2 linked regions of the Caenorhabditis elegans genome follow. The protein of the gene in region 2 purifies or fractionates together with the protein of the main gene of each other region. This does not show direct contact. Each region holds a gene or a part of one and is shown on either strand. Other genes may lie near its edges. The genes, in order: toc-1 and slc-30A5.

Evidence for each region.
Region 1: the proteins of slc-30A5 (region 2) and toc-1 purify together in Caenorhabditis elegans (affinity purification with western blotting, with the first as the bait; one study listed by BioGRID). This does not show direct contact.

The regions. Positions count from the first base shown.
Region 1 is NC_003281.10:5,273,579-5,278,124, reverse strand, and holds toc-1 (similar to Transporter Of divalent Cations), read right to left. Parts: upstream 2,837-4,546; coding exon 2,783-2,836; intron 2,711-2,782; coding exon 2,581-2,710; intron 2,537-2,580; coding exon 2,391-2,536; intron 2,310-2,390; coding exon 1,930-2,309; intron 1,807-1,929; coding exon 1,584-1,806; intron 1,091-1,583; coding exon 683-1,090; downstream 1-682. Other genes in the region: clk-1 (NADPH-dependent 3-demethoxyubiquinone 3-hydroxylase, mitochondrial), read right to left, coding at 96-231; Co-chaperone protein daf-41, read left to right, coding at 3,369-3,487, 3,622-3,971, 4,078-4,136.
Region 2 is NC_003279.8:14,356,850-14,361,875, reverse strand, and holds the start of slc-30A5 (Proton-coupled zinc antiporter SLC30A5), read right to left. Parts: upstream 3,315-5,026; 5' UTR 3,215-3,314; coding exon 3,153-3,214; intron 3,109-3,152; coding exon 2,986-3,108; intron 2,921-2,985; coding exon 2,595-2,920; intron 1,970-2,594; coding exon 1,776-1,969; intron 948-1,775; coding exon 629-947; intron 1-628. Other genes in the region: Y105E8A.2 (Endoplasmic reticulum lectin 1), read left to right, coding at 3,568-3,927.

The sequences.
Region 1 (4,546 bases), on a different chromosome or scaffold from region 2:
CGATAAGGAAAAATCGCAAAATTGCGTTTCAAATTAGTTTTCAGCAACGAGTTTTTCGAACATTTTTTGTTTCATATCCAGTCAAAAGTGAGGACCTTGCAAAACAGCCAACTGTCCAGCGTAAATCCGATCGGCTCCAAGCTCTCCAGCATGATCAACTCGAATGATCTTCTCTATAAGTGCTTGACGAGAAGCAGCAGTATGTGCTCCACGGGTTATTACACGGAACATCTGTATTTCAACGTTTTCAGTGGAATTTTATGTGTTGAAAACATTATCACAATGGTTTCTGCCAATTTTAAAAATGTCAACAAAAAAAAAATTTTTAAAGGAAAATGTATTCTATAAAATTAAATTGTAAAAAGAAGGAGCAAAGCTTTCGAAAAACAGGGAACAATGAATAAATTAATTAATTTAAATATCACTAGATGAGAATTCATGGGAAATGAAAATACAATCACAGCTATAAAATCCAGGAAAAAAGTAAATAAATTAAAGTTTTGGTGGCGGGAACACTAGAAGAGGTAAACAAATGTACTGGGCCAGCCCGGATATGTACAGAAAATACGACATGAAATTCAGTTTTTGGTTGAACTCTTAAACTAGATTGGATTGAAATACAAAATAGGATTGAAATACAAAATAGTGCGAAACCCGATGTTTTCAACAAAAATCTATAGCACTAATGATAAAAAACGCCGTCATGACTATGTCCATGATGATTGTCTGATCCTGCAGAATGACTGTGTCCATGATTATCATTATTTCCTCCATGACTGTGACCATGATCATGTTCGTTATGATCATGACTATGTCCATGAGAGTCGTGGCCATGATCATCATGTCCATGACTGTGTCCATGATCATTATGATCATGAGAATGTCCATGCCCATTATCATGTGAATGATTTCCTTCACTCTTATGAATATGTCCATTCGAATATGGAACTTGCTCTCCTGCAGACCATGCAGCGTCTTTGACAACTTGAACAGTCAGCACTGTGATTACAGATGAAAACTTTTCGGTTACATGAGCCAAAACATTCTGCTCATCCGCATCTCGTCGTACACGAACATCAACAGTGCCAACCTGAAAATAATAAAAAAGATTAAATTTTTAAATATTTTTATTGATTTTTTAACATAAAATAATTATCTTATAAATAATCCAATTGTATAAAATCAACTAAAATTTAGTGCCAGTTTTTGAGGCGTTAAAAATGGTTTTAAATTTCGACCATGTTTCGATTGCTTTTCCTTTTCGAACTTTTCGACCTAGGATTTCCTCATCCTCCCTGGCTCAATCGGTAACTGAGTTCAACTCTCCACCACGGGAAAATTTTTTGCGAATTTTTTCATCCCAAAAAAATGGAAACTTTTTTTTTTTGCTACAATTGCTACAATACATTGACACTTTTTTTTTCTAAATTAGTAAATTATGAAACGCGAAATAAAAACTCGAAAAGTTAGTTTTGAAAAACCGGACGTCTTATTAACAGATTTTTGAACAAATAATTGAGGAATTTTGAGAATTATTAATAAGAATTTTACTTTTTTTAAAATGTTTTAAACTGAAGATTTACCAGCGAGTTAAAATCCAGTTGCCAGAAACGTCCACTCTTCAACTCAAGAACACCGTCTATGTGAGAAGCTTCAGAAATACACCGATCAATTTGATTAATCAAGTGCGGAGGAGTTGTTTGAAGTAGAATCATTCCAGTATATGTTGATAGTGGATACATCGTTGAGAACACAGCAACAGAGAGCAGCAGACAGCATACTGGATCAGCCCATGCGAAGTCGTGCCTAGAAATGAGAAATTTTATATAATTTTTTTAATTGTCTGATTTATTGAAGGTCATAGCCGTAAAACGGTAATTTATAGGCCAAAATTATGTTTCAAATGAGGTGTATGATAGCTAAACTCACTTGAAATGTTCACATAACAAGTTCAGTCCAGTAGTCGTCAAGGCTAACAATACCATTGAATTGATTCTTGGCAGAAGAAGACGCGAAAGGCCAGGAATAACCCAGCACACAGCATGGGACAAATCAGCTGCATGCTCTTGCAAACTTGAAGCCGTTGCTGATTGAAGAACATGTTGAAACGGTTGATTTTTAAGAGCGTATGCTGAGAGAAGCAGCGCCACTGAAGATGCAGCAGAACCAACAAAATATGGCCAGCCGCCGATTTCTTCTACTTCATGTTCGTGAGCCGCTGAAGCATCATGAGAACCATGGTGATCAGGGGATAACAAGTGCTCGAATGATTCCTTCGATAAAAAGATGGAAAATAGTTGAGCCAACACCTGAAGAAGGTTATTTTTAATCTCAAAAATACTGATTCCAATTGGAATACATTTTTAATATTTAGTGTTTCAAAAACTCACGGTAGTACTAAAGACTGCCAAAACCGGTACTCTGGCTAATCCGTAACTAAATTTATGCGTTGGTTTTTCGGTTATCGACATGGAATACAGAGACGCGAATTGGGAGCAAAACGAAAAAATCGTAATCCAAAGAGTTGACATTAGAACTGAACAAAAAACTATTATTTTTGCACTCAAATACAACAATTACCTATCGAGTGGCTCGTTGATACGCAATATGCCAAAATTCCAACACACGCCAGGCATATTAATGTGGAAATTAGTCCTCGTTTCCCTTGAGGATGGTGTAACGACCTTGATACCCATGAGAAGCTGACCATCTGAAAATAGAACACTGCATTTTTGTTTCTGAACAATTTTAGACGCATAAAACAATAAATTAACAACTATACGCTGTGGAAGTCAACACGATTCAAATTTTTCTTCAGAAAATCCATTGCTTCCATATTTCCATCAAAAAATGTTCATTGAACGATTTAAAATTAAGCTGAAATGAGCCAAAACCTCGTAAATGGAGACGTGTTCGTTCAAAGGCGCGCGCACTTTCACCACTGGGTCTCGCCGCGATTTGGGAACTCTCTCGAATTATTTGAATTTCTGCCGTTTTATCATCTTCATTATGCGTTTCCATGGCAATTTTCCTGAAGAACATTCGCGACTTTATATTTCTAATCCATTTACGTTTATATTCAATGCCATTCGCACTTAAAATATATCGATTTTGGCCAATAGTCCTTGTATTTAGGAGAAAAAGGTTGTAAGAGAAAAATCAATCGAAAAAAGAAATTAAGTGGACAATTCTTGCTTGTTATTGCCGTGATATGAAAACATTTTCATCTGATGGCTTTATTTTCGTCAATTTGCATAATCATGCTAATTTCAACTGTGCGCTTATTTATATGTCGTGCACCTTCCTTGAATTTTATTGATTATTGTTCGTATCCGTCTAGTTCTCTTTTCGAATTACAGGCAAAAACCATGGCTAAGCAACCAACAGTTCTCTGGGCCCAGCGTGAATCACTTGTCTATCTGACCATCGAGGTTGATGAGGCGAAAATCGAGGAACTGAAAGGAGAGGGAAACAAGCTTCACTTCCAGTACGTTTCGGATTAATATTTCGATTTCTATTTTAAATGTTTAAATACGATATGAAGCATATTTCTTGCTTCCTAAATATTCACAGAATGTTCATGATGGTACATAGAATGAGTCGTAATTCGTAAATTTTCAGAGGAAGCAGCAAAACTGACAAGTACGAAGCAACTCTCGAATTCTTCGACGAAATCGATCCTGCATCCGTAAAGCACACTGGATCTTCAACCCGCGTCGTTGAGATCACAGTTCAGAAGAAGACCCCAGCCTGGTGGCCAAGACTTCTTCAAAACAAGGGAAAGGTCCATTGGTTGAAGGTTGACTTTGGAAAATGGAAGGATGAAGACGAGGATGATGAGGCTGAGGATGCCGGAGCCGGAATTGGCGGTGGAATGGCGAACGGATTCGATTTGAACCAGTACATGTCCCAGATGGGAGGAGCTGGCGGAGCAGACTTCGGAGGTCTTGAGGATGATGAGGAAGATGACGGTAAGTATTAAGTGCAATAATATCCTTTTTGCTTACTATTAGTAATTCGTTAATGATAGAAAACCAATGTAGTATTAAAATGTTATTTATTATAAAAAATTTTCAGATATGCCAGATCTCGAAGACAACGAAGAGGAGGAAGGAAAGAACGGAACGAGAGCTTAAGCAACTCCTCAAGTCCCAATTGTTTCATTAAAAATACAATTTGAATTTCTCTAATTTAATTCTTTATTCATTTTTCTCTATCCCGATTATTCCTCTTCCAGTTTGTGAACGCTTCACGTATCTCAGTCACAGAGTTTCATTTATTGTTTCCACTTTAAATATTTATTGAGTAAAGTGATATCACACCCATCTTCTTGCAGTGAACTTGTGAATTCTGACGGCTTAATTTTTATCCCGCATTCGTTTTTCTAATCAGTTTCCATGGGCAAGAACACAATTGGTAAGGCTCTGGTAATACTTTTCTAAAGTTGTTACTTTTTTTAAAATGTGAGCATACAAGGTATTTAATTTTGTCTTCTTTGTGGATCCACATGGAGAAAAAACTCCTGAAGACATAAATTTTACTCATT
Region 2 (5,026 bases):
ATGCGAAAAATCCAGATTTTCGGGATTTTCTTCAGCATTTTTTAATTAGAATTTCGAGAAAAACGCACCCAAAATAAAGCAAAAGTTACACTTTTAGTGAAAAAAAATTCAAAATTCAAAGTTTTTGGTGAGGCTGTGACGACTACAAACTACAGTTTTTCATAGCCTCAACCAATTTTTGGTTGAGGCTAGCCAATAGTGTAGTTTGTAGTGTGAGCCTCAACCAGTATTTAACGCAAAAAAATGGGTTTTTCCTAAATTTCGAACGGAAAACTTAAATCTAACAAGAAACCCTAACATTTTCAAGATATTTTCGACAAAATACGGGTTTATGGAGCTTAGTTCAGGCTCACAGACTACAAACTACACGACTCTCTAAGCCTCACCCAATTTTCTTTGGTTGAGGCTATCAAGATTTGTAGTTTGTAGTGGGGGGGGGGGGGGGTCTCAAGCGAAAATCCGGTTTTTGATGTTAAAAAATTGCGAAAATTCGATTTTTAAGGTAAAAAAATAATTTTTTCAGCCAGAAAAGTCGATTTTTTTCAAAAAAATCGGATTTTGGTGCGAAAAATCCCAATTTCAGGGATTTTTCAGCATTTTTTTGATTAGAATTTCGAGAAAAACGCACCCAAAATAAAGCAAACAACAGTGATCGAAACACCGCCAGTCAACGCATGATCTCCGAGATTTTGGCTTCCATACCAAAGGTATGCGAGCCCAAATGCACACGAGAACATGGTAACAGAGGACCAACGAGCTGCAGCCATAACTGGATCAGCAACGTGTTGGAAGCATATACTTTCAGCGTAGAAATCGAGTACAAACACAAATACAGCAATGATTACGAGAAGAGCAGCGTAGTGGAAATAGCCTATCGAAGCTCCGGAGCTTGAGGAAAGAGCCCATGATAGTACGGCTACAGGCGTTAGGCAGACAGCACTTCCAGCCTGAAAATTTAAATTTTCATTATTTTTTATTTAAAAATTTGAATTCTTTCAATTTTTTACTTCAAAAATCAAATTTTCCAAAATTTTGATCGGAAAAAAACGATTTTCCCTAATTTATTACGTCAAAAATCGAATTTTTCCAATTTTTAACCAAAAAAAAAGGGAATTTCCTATAAATTAAAAAAAATCGAATTTTTTCCCCAAAAATTCGAATTTTCCCTAATTTTCTACTTCGAAAATCGAATTTTCTAAAATTTTGATCGAAAAATTCGTATTTTTCGAATTTTTAACCACAAAAATGGAATTTCCTATAAATTAAAAAAAAAATCGAATTTCTCAGTTTTTTCACTAAAAAAAATCGAATTTTTCCAATTTTTAACCAGAAAATTCCTTTTTTTTTAAATTTTCTGCTTCGAAAATCGAATTTCCCTATTTTTACCTAAAAATTTGAATTCTTTCAATTTTTTACTTCAAAAAAAAACGATTTTCCCTAATTTATTACGTCAAAAATCGAATTTTTCCAATTTTTAACCAAAAAAAAAAAGGGAATTTCCTATAAATTTTAAAAAAAATCGAATTTCTCAGTTTTTCACCAAAACTGTCGAATTTTCCCTAATTTTTTCCAGACACATTCCGCGAAAAAACTTAAAATTTTACGTAAATTTATAACTTTATAGCAAATGTTTTTTTCGGTTCATGAATTTTTAAAGGAATAATATCTTAGAAACTATTACAGAAAAAAAAATCCAGCAGAAAATGTGTGATTCTTTCGGAATTTTTTATGCTTTTTCGGGTTAAAATTCACGAAAAATCCATAATTTTTATTACCGTAACAAGTGTGTGAAGCCTCTTTGCACCGCCAACTTCTACAGCTAAATGCCGGAAAGACGTCTCGTAGCCGGTACGGAGAAGCAGTGAGATTAGCAGAATACATAGACCTCCTTTATGATCAGCCATTCCGAAAAGTCCAATTAAATGATAGAAGAGGTGGTTGAGGCCACTGTGGTGGGCGTGGGTGGTGTCTGGAAAGTTGGAAATTTGAAAAAAAAAATTAAAATGTAAAAATTTTATAGCGATTTTGAACGAAAAATTGGTTCATTTCTCGGTTTTTTAACTAAAAATCGCGATTTTTGAAGAAAAATGGGTATTTTAAAGTTTGGGTGAGGCTCACAGACTACAAACTACAACTGTTTATAGCCTCAACCAATTTTTCACACTGATTTAATGAAAAAAATTTTTTTGGAAACTAATAAAAAAAACCTTTTACTCAATTTCCGATGAAAAAAAAATGATATTTTTTGCAGTAAAATCGGAAATTTTAAGCTATTTTTGAGTGAAAAACTGATGTTTTAAAGTTTGGTTGAGGCTCACAGACTACAAACTACAACTTTTTATAGCCTCAACCAATTTTTATTTTTTTAAATGTTTTTTTTCGGAAATTATTAAAGCTTTTTGTGCATTATTTTTGATGAAAAAATGAACATTTTCGCTGGGAAATCGGAAATTTTAAGCTATTTTTGGTGAAAATAGGTATTTTAAAGTTTGGTTGAGGCTTACAGACTACAAACTACAACTCTTCATAGCCTCAACCAATTTTTCACACTGATTTTCAGTGATTTCTTCGAATTTCAAGCGCCAAATCCTTACGATGTGGATCCTCAATAGTTCCGTCTCTATCCATAAGGAAAAGCGCCACAAATCCGACAATTAACAGGAAAAATCCACGTGTTTTGGAGGGAGTTGACATATTTCCGCCCTTGAAAAATGAGACAACCGCCGATAAAAGCACAGTTGAACTGAGCTCAAAGACAAGAACACTCCGTAATGGTCCACAAAGTGTGATTCCATAAAACCAGAATACTTCGATAACGCTATTCATCAGGGAAAGCTTCAAAACCATGGGCATTATGCCTCTTTTCAGTGATTTTCCGGCTGAAAGAGGCTTTTGCAGGGGGAATAGGATACATGTACATCTGAAAATCATTAAATAAATTAATAATTGCGTAAAATATTTTAAAAAAATTTTTAAAAACCGTACATTATTTTACAAAGCCACAGAAGATTCACAATATGCGAGCTTTTCGCGAGAATATCCACGAAAAAGACTCCAATACATCGTAGAATTTTGGTGAGCACTAGCACAACGAAATATGACGCTGATCTGTAATTTTCAAAACTTTTTAATATTTTTTTTAATCAACAAACCTCGAAGATTGCGTTGGAGTGAAGTTTCTGTCGTCTTTTTTGACGAAATCGTGGGCTAGCATCGTGGATAATGGCGATTTTTAGGGTTTTTATCGAAATTTATCGATTTTCGGAGAAAAAAATCAAAAATTTATACAGTTTCCATCCCGAAAATGTTCAAAAAAGGTTGAAATAAATTGGAAATTTCCGAAAAAGGTTCCAAAAATTAAAAGTGTGCATTTTACCGTCACGGTGTCTGCACCAAATACACCCTATTTGACGACAATTCGCGTTGAACATTATTTTTCTATTACACTATTACACGTGTTTTAACCGAAAATGAGCATTAAAATGGGGTTTTCCGTTTAATTTTTTTCACTGAAATTATCAAAAATATGCTAATAAATCGATTTTTCAGGTGATAAACCTTCAAAAAATGGTTTCAACAGGCTTATTTCGGCCGACAAAAGCTATCCCGCTATTATTTCTTCTCTTTTCTCTTTACAAAACTGAGAAAATCGATGATTCTATTCACTATTATGTGTCATTTACAAGTGATTCGGTGACAATAAAAGATCCACCAACACTGGAAACAGGGAACACTGAGCTATCCGATGATTATGTGCGAATTATGTCGAAAAACAACGAGCGATTCTTGTGTAAATTGCCGCAAATTGATGTGGAAGTGAAGAAAAACGTGGAATATTCGGGAGCGACGGCCGGGAAATTGCTGGAAACTATGCTGTATAAGGATAAAATGTGCAGCTATTTGATCGATGTTTATTGGACTTATCAGGTAAATTTTTATCATAAAAATTGATGAAAATGCTTTGAAAACCTAAAAAAAATCAGAAATTTTGCGCATTTTTTACTTAAAAATTTTTTTTCGAAGGTTGGTTGAGGTTCACAGACTACAAACTACAATTTTATTAGGCACTGAGGCTCACGAAAGTTGTAGTTTGTAGTCTGAGCCTCCCCACAAATTAAAATTGTTTTTTTTGTCTTATTTAAAACCCCAACTGGTGTAAATTCAATTTAAAAAAGTATCCAAAAAATTTTATAATTTTTCTCTGAACACGCTGAGGCTCAGACTACAAACTACAAAATTGGCTAGCCTCAACCATGAAGGTTGTAGTTTGTAGTCTGTGAGGCTCACCCAAAACATAAATGCAGTTATTTCGACTGAAAATCGCTCGTTTCTCGTGATTTAAAAATGAAAATTTTGCAAAAATGACTACAAGCTACAAAATTGGCTAGCCTCAACCATGAAATTTGTAGTTTGTAGTCAGTGAGCCTCAACGAAACTTAAAAAATCCCGTTTTTTGCGGAAAATCATTTAAAATTCCCAATTTTACTTCAAAAATCCTTTTATTCATTTTTTCATCAAAAAGTGAATGAAAAACTAATTTTCGTCACAAATTTGAGGCTCACACTACAAACTACACTCCTTGCTAGCCTCAACATTGGTTGAGGCTATGTATAGTTGTAGTTTGTAGTCTGTGAGCCTCAGCCAAAACATAAATGCAGTTATTTCGACTGAAAATCGCTCGTTTTTCGTGATTTAAAAACAAAAAAAAAAGACTACAAACACTACAAAATTGGCTAGCCTCAACTAAATTTAACTAGTTTTCAACGTGTAAAATTGCAAGTTGTAGTTTGTAGTTTGTAGCCTCACCCAAAACTTAACATCGACGCTTTTTAACTGAAAATCGCTCGTTTTTTTCGTTTTAAAAACGATAAATTTGCAAAACATGACTAAAAACTACAAAAATGGCTAGCCTCAACCATGAAATTTGTAGTTTGTAGTCTATGAGCCTCACGGAAACTTTAAAATCACCGTTTTTTGCGAAAAAACCGTAAAAATTTGCAGATTTTACTGCGAAAATCTCAATTTT